2 linked regions of the Neodiprion lecontei genome follow. The protein of the gene in region 1 interacts with the protein of each later gene in a pairwise test. Links are inferred from orthologs where the notes say so. Each region holds a gene or a part of one and is shown in the gene's direction. Other genes may lie near its edges. The genes, in order: rho GTPase-activating protein Graf and epidermal growth factor receptor substrate 15-like 1.

Region 1 (5,010 bases):
TTTTTTTTTTTCAGAGCAAAACTAATGCAAGTGAAATGTTATTCACTATCAGATAGTTTATAAAATGGTCCCCCTTACGGTCTCTCCTCTTCAATAGAAATAATCTCTATACTCAATTAATTAACTATCCCAATTTCAGCTAGCAGATGTCCCTTTGTCCATTTTAGATGTCTTGTCGCATTTAGAATCAGACTGATTAGTATTTTCCTCCTCATCACACGAACTTTCTTCTTCCTCATCCTCTTCATCTTCACCTGAACTTTCACCTTCGTCATCTTCGTCGTCATCGGCGTCTTCAGCGTCATCTGCATAATCCCCATAGCTATGAGTACTATTACCTGTGCAAGAGTATTGAACATCTTTGTTAAGAAAACGTTTTTAAAAATTTAGTGCGAAGTTTTTCTGAATCGTAGTAAACAAACTGAATAAATCTTACCATAATATCCGTATCCTCCATCTTCTTCATCAGAATCATAGGTTCCTGCTTGATTTTGCCGACCAAATTTATGGCTCCTTGCTGTAAGAGTGAAGATTATATGATTCATAGATGTTACATCGCTGTTAATATAAGAAGTATGGTACCAATTTTGTAACTTACTTGACATACTAAGATCCTTTGTTTGAGAGGTTTCGTAACTGCACTTGGGGCATGGAATTGGCTTGTTCTTCTCGTACTTGAAACCTTTCCTTCGAACATGATCTTCACAGTAGCACGTTTTACATCTCAGACAAGAATATTGTCCAAGCTTATTGCAGGACTGACCTGCAATTTTTTCAAAACAATTCTCTTGAATATCTCGGTTTCAGGTTTGTCATTCAGTGTTTTACTTGACTGTACTAGTGGTGCCAAATATTTGAATAATAAAAACATGTGAAAATATATTTCATAATTACATTTGAAACTTTCAGACTCCAATACTTGGCAAGATGCCTGATGCTCAAATTGATCATCTTCACACAGAAAGCAGTCACAGAAAGAGCATCGAAATATTCTGCCGCCGTGATCCCATACCCCTCGTTCACACTCCTGACAAACTGCATCCATCAACGGACAAGTACAAGCATGGGAAGTCAGACATCGTCTACCATGGCATACCCATGCCTCGCAGTGGTCACATATTGCTCCCTAAATTATAAAACTTGTTTTGAATGTAACTGCAAATCACTGTGGAAAAATTGTCAAATTACTCTAGACAAAAATTGAAATTTTACGCACCACCATACCAAGGCCAGTTGTAAAAACTCCGACATGTCGAACGACACAATCTCCAGTCTTCAACATGCATTTGACTTTGCCACATTGAGCACATATTGGCAAACGCTGAACACTCTGACAGAAATAACAAAATGCCCGACTCTTCTGCTTTCTATTGCACTTGTCGCATTCCTGCAGTAAAATCCTAATAACTATCGAAACTTACAGAGAGGGTCCGAAGTTAGCTTGGATATTTGTTAAAAATGAATAAACAGGTCACTTGGTTATTTGATCGAAAACAAAGTATTGCTCATCAATGATACTTGCCATTATTGCATTGCTAGGAAATTTTGCAAGGTCTATCTGACCTTTGGCAGTGCGAATTTCCTTTTGTCTTAACTTTTGTTTCTCAGCCTTTTTCCTTTGACCTGTCTTTTTTTTCGGCATAATCGCTTACTGGCTTATAACTTGCAAATCAAAATACACCCAAGTAAAGCCGAAAACTATTGTATATTTTTTCGGTATCGATGGTATTGACCCGGATTCGGTGATTAAATTACGGTTATGTTTTACCGAACAGCACTCCGAACAAGCCTGCGCTCCGATTTGCTCCGAGCTATCTCGTGAGTGGTTGTCACCCAATGTTACGCCATGCGTTCATTGGTCAATGGCCGTCAGCCAATTTTACAATCAGCTCCATCTTTTACAAAGGGGAAGAGGATACACATGTATATATTGTTGAACCGTGGTAAAGCTTGGACATCTGTCGTCATCGGTTATCTCATGATTATACCCGAGGACGCGTTCCTAAAATTGATCATTAAAATCTAAATTGACGTTTGCTATATTGTTATTCTATTCATGAATTATGCTTTTGAGTCTCTCATCTCTGAAGTTTTTTTTTCAATAATTTTCAACGGAAAGCGGTGGAGCCGTGGTGGAGTGGAGACGACGTATTTTTGTTCCGTGATTAGTGATAACTGGGACAATTAAGCCATTGGCTGTGTTGATACTTCCATTGGCAATCTTGATTGACATCTTCCAGATTGTGGATTAATTGTCGAAGAAAATTATAAATGCAGTTGAACTGTGCCGCAAAGCTTTCGCGTTCTCTGTGGTAACGCACCTACGTATTTTAGCGTTACAAGATTTGTGCTTGCAGTTGATTTAACTCAGTTGTGAATGATTATACGATCCTTTGAAAGATAATTAATAATAATGGGTGTTGGTCTGGAACCGCTGGAATTTACCGACTGTTTGACGGACAGTCCCTATTTTCGTGATAATCTTCATTCCCATGAACGCGAATTAGACAAAACCAGTCAACAGATAAAACGCTTGATAAAGGAGGTCAAGGATTTGCTTATAGCTGCCAGAAGTAAGTTTTTTTCACATTTACGACTCCATAAAGTAAGTTTGACAAAAAAATTTTATCGCTGCATTTTACTATCCTTATTGCCGTCTGAACATTAGGACAATGCAGCAGTCCCACAAACTTCAGGGCCTTAAAAGGGCGAAAATCCACTTAAAACATAACTGGTTGAATTTTTCTGCTATATGTTAAACAAGTCTTGTGTAAAGAAAGAGTAATCTATTCCAAGAATTATATAAATTGACATATATATATTACTATCTGATTCTAACCAGAAGTAAAAAAACGATTTTCAATATCATTTGAATAGAGCTTGTATCCTTGACGCAACATAAACTTATTTGTTGAAAGAAAATTCAGTCAGGCTCATACTGAGGCAACTTGCTAGCTCTTCGATAATTCTTGAATTTTTTAAATTGATACATCACCTAAGGCATTAGCTACCAAATCTTATTTAAAGAAGTTATACCAATTTCATTTAAAGCGATAGAAAATTGAATCGAGTCTTCAGTCACAGCTAATAAATTACGTAATACTAATTTTTAGATGCATGATTAGCTAATGAGGTTTATTACCGTGATCTTGATTTGCAGATTTATCACGAGCTCAAAGAACATTCTCGAAAACACTTCAGAACTTCAGTTTTGAATGTATTGGCGAAACACAAACCGAGGACGAAACACACATATCACAGAGTTTGAAAGAATTTGGTAGACTTATCGCATCGATTGAGGACGAGCGTGATCGCATGGTATGACCCAGTTAATGTTGAAAAAATTTATCCTAAAATGTTTGCATATTTTGATCTATGTTTTACTTAAATTGAGTTGATCAATAATATTTTATGAAATTTAGTATAATTTATATACAATTATAGAAGTTTTCACTGGCTACACGCTGTGCGATTTTCCTAGGATTCTGCTTCTGCTATTGGTTGAATACTGCAAAAATTGCACTCACTGTATACCAAGTACAGCCAGTGAAAAATGCTATTAATTGTTAATTCAATAAAAGTTTGACCTTATACTCAAAGTATGAGCTAAACATGTTAATGTGTTATTCAAATTATAAATCAATTAACTTTCTAACCAAGTCTTTTGTTTTTATACCTAGTGGACAAATTAAGACACGCAAGTATTATATTACTTTGCATGAACGTTTTTAATATACATTTACCCAATATTCATAGCTATTCTATAGTTGACTCATTTCATTCACAGTTTATAGTTTATAGACCAAAATTAGTAATATTATTTACGTATATATATTTTGATTTGAACAACAGTGACAATTAAAATACGCAATATTATATTCAAAGGAATATACTTTTTATAACAAAGTTATCAAAATGTGCGACATCCTTTCATTTCGAAGTATAAACTTTGCTGTCAGCGCAAAATTCATTTCTCTTCATAAATACGTCTTATCTAATTACATAACTATCGTGTATTATTTAACTAACCATCAAATGTAGCCGGTTTTCTAATATTCCTGTAGAAACGGTGTGATAGAGTATAACCAATGATACTTATTAAGGCTTTGTACATCAAGTTACATTAATAGTTATTTTTATTGCAAATGCGCATAAATTGGGAATTCCTTGACGAGTGCAAAGTGCGAATATATATACCTATACACGCACATGCCACAAAACCTATTTTCTGTATTACCTCCAGTCAAAAACGAGAATAATGTGTAGTTTTTATAAGCACTAGTGCGCATAAAAAATACAAAGTAGTCGAGTTTTTGACGGAGATAGCGCGGCACCACTTTTTCATTCTTATGCTAGTATTAATAATTTATTCAACATTGTACAGCTTTGTACAGCAATGCGTTTATATTTGTTAAGCGTGTCTTTTGAATCACTGTTAATTAATCATTGCAAACCTTTTTTCATTACAACACTCATTCAACAATGTTAAAAACAAAGATACATCCAGTGTTGGCAAATACTTTGACATTAGTTTATAACGATATATATACATAAAAAAGACTTTCTGCAGCATCTTTTATCAATTATATATGGTTTGGAAATGAAACTGATTTGGTAAAGTAAGTCAGCAATATCCTCATATCAAACAATATCATACATCAATATCTGATGTATTGAAGTAATCAGTTTCCAAATTCAAGAAAATGAAGAAAAAATAGATGTACCTTTGACATGGCTGGTCTATTTGAATGTAAAATAATTGACGAGCATTGATTTATGTGCATATCATGGATCATTGCATATGTAATTACATGCCTGTTATACGTACAGTAGAACCCCGATTAATCGGGGTGTGGTTTAAACGTCATCCTCTCGAGTGCCTTCGTGCTTCGTACGAGCAACAGGGTACGGTTGTACTGAATTCTTTCGAACAACAAGCTGGCAGTAATTCAATCTAATATTTACATCTTCGACAAATAAAACATATAATGATTTCACTTATCCATGGAT
Region 2 (5,199 bases), on another chromosome or scaffold:
TGCTGTCGCTTAGTCATAATCATGCGACAAATCCTCAACTTGGAAGCGATGCTGCAATGACAAAAGCAATGGAACACTTATCAGCACCCTTTGACGACCTGGTTTTACACCATATAAAGTAAGTAGAATATTTTTCAGAGATATTATTAAGCAAAAATAATTAAATTTTTGATAAACATTTTCCAGGGTCATATCGTCATTAAATAAAGACGATGCATTAACGTCGTATGCTCATCAGAGTGCAGCTATTCAGTCACTGGCAAAGATACTCCAGTTACAAAAAGACGAGAATTGGATGTTGCCAGTAATGAATTCCATGTGCTTAGATCTCAGGCGTCTAGCCCTTAAAGCTGAAGCATCCAAGTTTGGTAAAAATCAAAAGTCCGGTGAGGTGCTTGAAAAATGTGCTGAGTGCCTAATGAGCTGTTTTCGAGTTTGTGCAGCTGACAACAGGAACTCTGAAGATGACACGAAAAGATGGGGAATGCTCGCATTGGTTAACCAACTGTGGAAGGTCTATTTTCGCATAAACAAACTCGATTTATGCAAACCTCTAATCAGGATCATTGAATCGTCCGGTCTTAAGGATCAGTTCGCGCTCGCGCAAAAAATTACGTATAAATTTTTTATGGGACGCAAAGCCATTTTCGATAGTGATTACACAGCTGGTAAGCGTCAATAGTCAGTTGCAGGCCTTTCCACTGACAGTCACTTTTAAACTGGAAATGTAGCTTATTGTTCATTTTTTTTAAATTACTCAGCATTAAAAAATGTTTCACTTATGCTTTTCTAAATCAAAAAATGTTGAAAATGTATAATACAGATGATGTTAATTTTATCTAACTGGTAACGATGTTTTTAGAATGAAATTAAAGAGTGGATTTATTTAATGCCTGTTATTAAATTGTGTTACAGCGGACGAATATCTGACCTACGCTTTTGTCCGTTGCCACAAAGAATCAGCAAAGAACAAACGTTTAATTCTGACGTATTTAGTTCCCGTCAAAATGCTGCTGGGCTATATGCCAAAAAAATCATTGTTAGAAAAGTACAATCTATTGGAATTTTGGGAGTTGGTCGAAGCTGTTAAACGAGGAAACCTACGCAGCTTGGAGGAAGTGATGAACAAACATGAGATCTTCTTTATTAGTGCTGGGATTTACTTAATAGTTGAAAAGCTGAAGCTCATTACGTATAGAAATTTGTTCAAAAAGGTTTATCTCGTTTTAAATACCCATCAAATACCCGTAGCCAGTCTTTTGGCTGCTCTTGAAATGCACGGTGTTGACGATGTAGATATGGACGAAACGGAATGCCTTGTAGCCAATTTAATTTACGAGGGTAAAATCAGGGGTTACATTTCTCATCAGCACAAAAAATTGGTCATTTCAAAACAAAATCCGTTCCCGCAACTGTCATCGTTGAATTCAAATTGAATAAAAATACGATAATCAAATTCTGTGAATTTTGAAGTGGATTACGATACTATAATTAATATCGTTAAGGAAACCGCTGTTGTGTATACATACCTTTTATACGAAACCCGTAATTGTAGGTATGAATTAAATATTCTTGTTATACAAGTACGCATTTCTATTGTTTCTCTCTTGTCCAACGTCAGAAGATGCGTCAGACCATTTGCCAATGAAATAAAAGCTAATGGTATGATAATACGAATTTTAGAATACTATCAATATATATTCGTGAAGAGTACACGTTCGAAAATTCAAATTATGTAACTGACTTCGAGCTTAAGCATATTTTTTCGCAATCGTGAAGATAATTTAAAAGACAAGTCTCGAAAGGGGGAGGATTACTTTAACTGGTATAAAATAATCTGTCAAGTTTTTTATATTTTTTTGTTACTTAACAATTCAAATAGAGAAGATTAAAAATTTTCTTCGATGCATAAAGGCGTCATAAAAGTATATTTGAATCTGACACTAGACTCAAACGCGTGTGTACTGCATGGCAATGTAGGCAATACAGAAATTCTTTACGTAATAACGTAAGAAAATTGACGAAAGTATTTGTCTGTCGTTTGTATAATAGGGCATAATAAAGGGTCAGTTTTATCGTGATAATTGATCGTATAAATAAGAGTTATTAAATTTGTGAAAATCGTTAAAATGACGTACTATTGATTGAGGGCCTTATTGGTTCTTGGGCCTTCGGACCGCGGCCAATGAAAATCGCGTTAGTATTCGATGCAAGTATGGCCGCCTTGCCGTCACCTACGCAGGTATGTAATATTTTTTACATTATTTCCCCTGATTAATTCCTGTTGAGAATACCCTACGTGAGATATAATGGTAATGCGGATATTGTTTCGTAAGATAAATGAAATTCTATCAATAAACGCCTCCTCGTCGCTGTAAGAGGCGATTTTTTGGTCAACCTAAGCATCTCGCCACCCGTGACAGCATCGATGCTATCTCCGATTTTCGTTTGTTTATTTAACACGAGTGATTTTTTCATCGTGGATCTGTGGGCCTCGTTATTTAGTTAAATTGATCGTCCAGCAAGTACTGTTTAGCATTGATAACATTACTTCCATTAATCGAATCGCATGAAAATGGCGAACGTTTACCAATGCACACCCCTTTTCAGAATCGTCTCCTCACTTTGATGATAGAAAACCGTTTTGACAGTTGTTAAAAGAAGAGATAATAAAAAATATGAATAAAGAGTAAATCCTTTGTTATTGCATTTTCGAGTAACTTCATTTATACGGAGATACATTTTGTTCACCTCCTTCAGACTATAGATAATTGAAATGTGAAAAGGAATGATTGCTGTCATTTAAACGTTATCTAGCCTAATGCCAACTATCTTATTTCGCTTCCTGTTGATAAATATACGATTAATTTTGGATCTAACATTGCAGTTATAATACTACAATTTACATTTTTGATTACATTAGTGGAATACTAAAACAATAAAAACATTGTTTCAGGTGGCTGGAAGCCACAGCGCCATATATGAGGCCTATTATCATCAGGTAAATTACACTTTTACCTCTGTATATAATACAAATTATTAATTGTAATGTAAAGCGTGATGAAAAACGACTATACGTCAATTTATCTAAAGGTGGACCCTAACGGGTATGGCCGTATCGGAGCGATGGAAGCTGCACGATTTTTGAAAAAATCACAGCTGAGCGATGTTGTGCTTAGTAAAATTTGGGATATGGCGGATCCACAGTCGCGTGGATCATTGGATAAATCCGGACTTTTCGTCGCGCTAAAACTTTGCGCCCTCGCTCAGGCAGGAAGTGACTTGAGTATGGCAAACCTCAATATTGAAACACCTCCACCCAAAATGGTAGGTTTTAATCATTATTAGTAACTCTGGTCATTCTATCTAATATAAAAACACTAGCTTTCAAACATATCAGTTATTGTCTTGTATTTGGATATTGAGTGGGAAATATTTTTTCAACGAAATTAACAACTAAAAAGCACTCAAGTACAATTGTCGTTGACTGCAGAGTACAGCTGTTTAACACTATTTGCTTCGTTATCTTATCAGTTTAACATTCAAAACCTCTTCAAGCGTGTCTACTTCATATCTGAAAGAGAACAGAGATTACAGATTCCTTTTTTTCAAAGATATTTTACAATGGTCTCTGGCCAACTCAGTCATTTGAATACATCAAACTGATTTTGACAAACTTTTGATATCATTGATGGTAATGCGTATGCTATGTTTGACGAAACTTTTAGAGAGACATAATTAACGTTTTACAGGGTGAAATTCCAGTGATACCCCAAAAACCAAAGCCTATATCTCCAGGGATAATAACATCGATGAATAACGGGGACTGGTCGATAAAACCAAGTGAACGAACAAAATATGATCAGTTATTTGACAGCTTACAACCAGCTAATGGATACATTCCAGGAAATAAAGTGAAAGGTGTTCTTATGGATAGCAAACTGCCTCTTGATACTCTAGGAAAAATATGGGATCTTGCCGACATGGACAAAGATGGAATGCTCGACAGGCATGAATTTGTCATTGTAAGTCCTGTCGCTTGTCAAGTGCGAATAATTAATTTGTGTAATCATACTATTATTACTATTATTGTCTTTTTGATCTGTATTCTTCAGGCTATGCATTTGGTCTACAAGGCACTTGAGAAATATGCTATTCCCAATGTGCTACCTCCAGAATTAATGCCACCAGGCAAAAGAAAAGAAGTCATCATGTCAGTTGCTAAATCCCCAGTACCCCCAATGGTTAGCGGACCACCGCCTATTCCTCCTTTACCTACTGCACCTGCTCCCAGCAGTCTTGTCGGTTTAGAATCTACAAAGGTAATCAATTTTTTCTTGTCAAAACATGCAGCAGAGAAGGAACTTTGATAGAAAACTTAGCCTGAGTCGCGATTGAGTGATCTGCTAATTTCTTAACAATAATTCGACGATAAGATTCACCTTATTCATTATTTTAGCCACCAGCTGTTCAACACTGGGTCATCTCAGCCGAAGATCAGGCAGCTGCGGACAAGCTCTTTGCGCAAGCAGACATGGATATGGATGGATACGTATCTGGGTCTGAGATCAAAGATGTATTTCTACAGAGCGGCTTACCACAGACTGTTTTAGCTCAAATTTGGTATATCTTTGTTACAAGTATTCCGTTACCTGTCTCAAAAAATGTGTTCTAAGCCATTATTTTTTGCCTGTAAACTAGTCTATGTCTTCTTGAAAAAAATCAAATAACATACTTTCCTTAAGCTTTGGTTCCTTCATTCAGTCGATGATGAACCATTGATAAATGATTTATTTTGTACACAACAGGGGTTTGTGCGATATTTGTCAAAGTGGTAAACTGAATAAGGAACAATTCGCTCTGTCGATGTGGCTTATTAAGCAGCAACTAAGAGGCAAAGAGCCTCCCGCTACTCTAACACCTGAAATGATACCACCGTCTTTAAGAAAACTCACAGAAAACGTTGTGGTGAGTATTGAATAACCAATGAGTAATTACCTACTTGAATCAGTTGCTGAAAAAACTAGCATTCGTGCTCTTTTATTTATAATTCAACCCATCAACAGCTCACCAAACAAATTAATGCTTGGTAATACGTTTCCGGCCTTTGAAGGCCTTCCAGAATACGTAAAGAAGTACGGTAATTATTATAATTGCCCCAAACATAAATACGTGATGATTAAATTTTATTCCTTCAAT

The links.
Region 2: the proteins of rho GTPase-activating protein Graf (region 1) and epidermal growth factor receptor substrate 15-like 1 interact in a two-hybrid assay, tested with the Caenorhabditis elegans proteins (2 studies listed by BioGRID). The link is inferred for Neodiprion lecontei from reciprocal best matches to the Caenorhabditis elegans genes T04C9.1 and ehs-1.

What each region holds. Positions count from the first base shown.
Region 1 is NC_060265.1:2,731,851-2,736,860, forward strand, and holds the start of rho GTPase-activating protein Graf, read left to right. Parts: upstream 1-1,886; 5' UTR 1,887-2,413; coding exon 2,414-2,573; intron 2,574-3,160; coding exon 3,161-3,318; intron 3,319-3,685; exon of another isoform or gene 3,686-3,697; intron 3,698-5,010. Other genes in the region: zinc finger protein 330 homolog, read right to left, coding at 136-338, 437-517, 599-763, 895-1,126, 1,217-1,387, 1,523-1,642.
Region 2 is NC_060264.1:4,176,481-4,181,679, reverse strand, and holds the start of epidermal growth factor receptor substrate 15-like 1, read left to right. Parts: upstream 1-2,184; 5' UTR 2,185-2,185; coding exon 2,186-2,242; intron 2,243-2,956; coding exon 2,957-3,001; intron 3,002-3,093; coding exon 3,094-3,327; intron 3,328-3,752; coding exon 3,753-4,025; intron 4,026-4,115; coding exon 4,116-4,322; intron 4,323-4,459; coding exon 4,460-4,623; intron 4,624-4,808; coding exon 4,809-4,968; intron 4,969-5,199. Other genes in the region: PCI domain-containing protein 2, read left to right, coding at 1-118, 187-668, 916-1,436.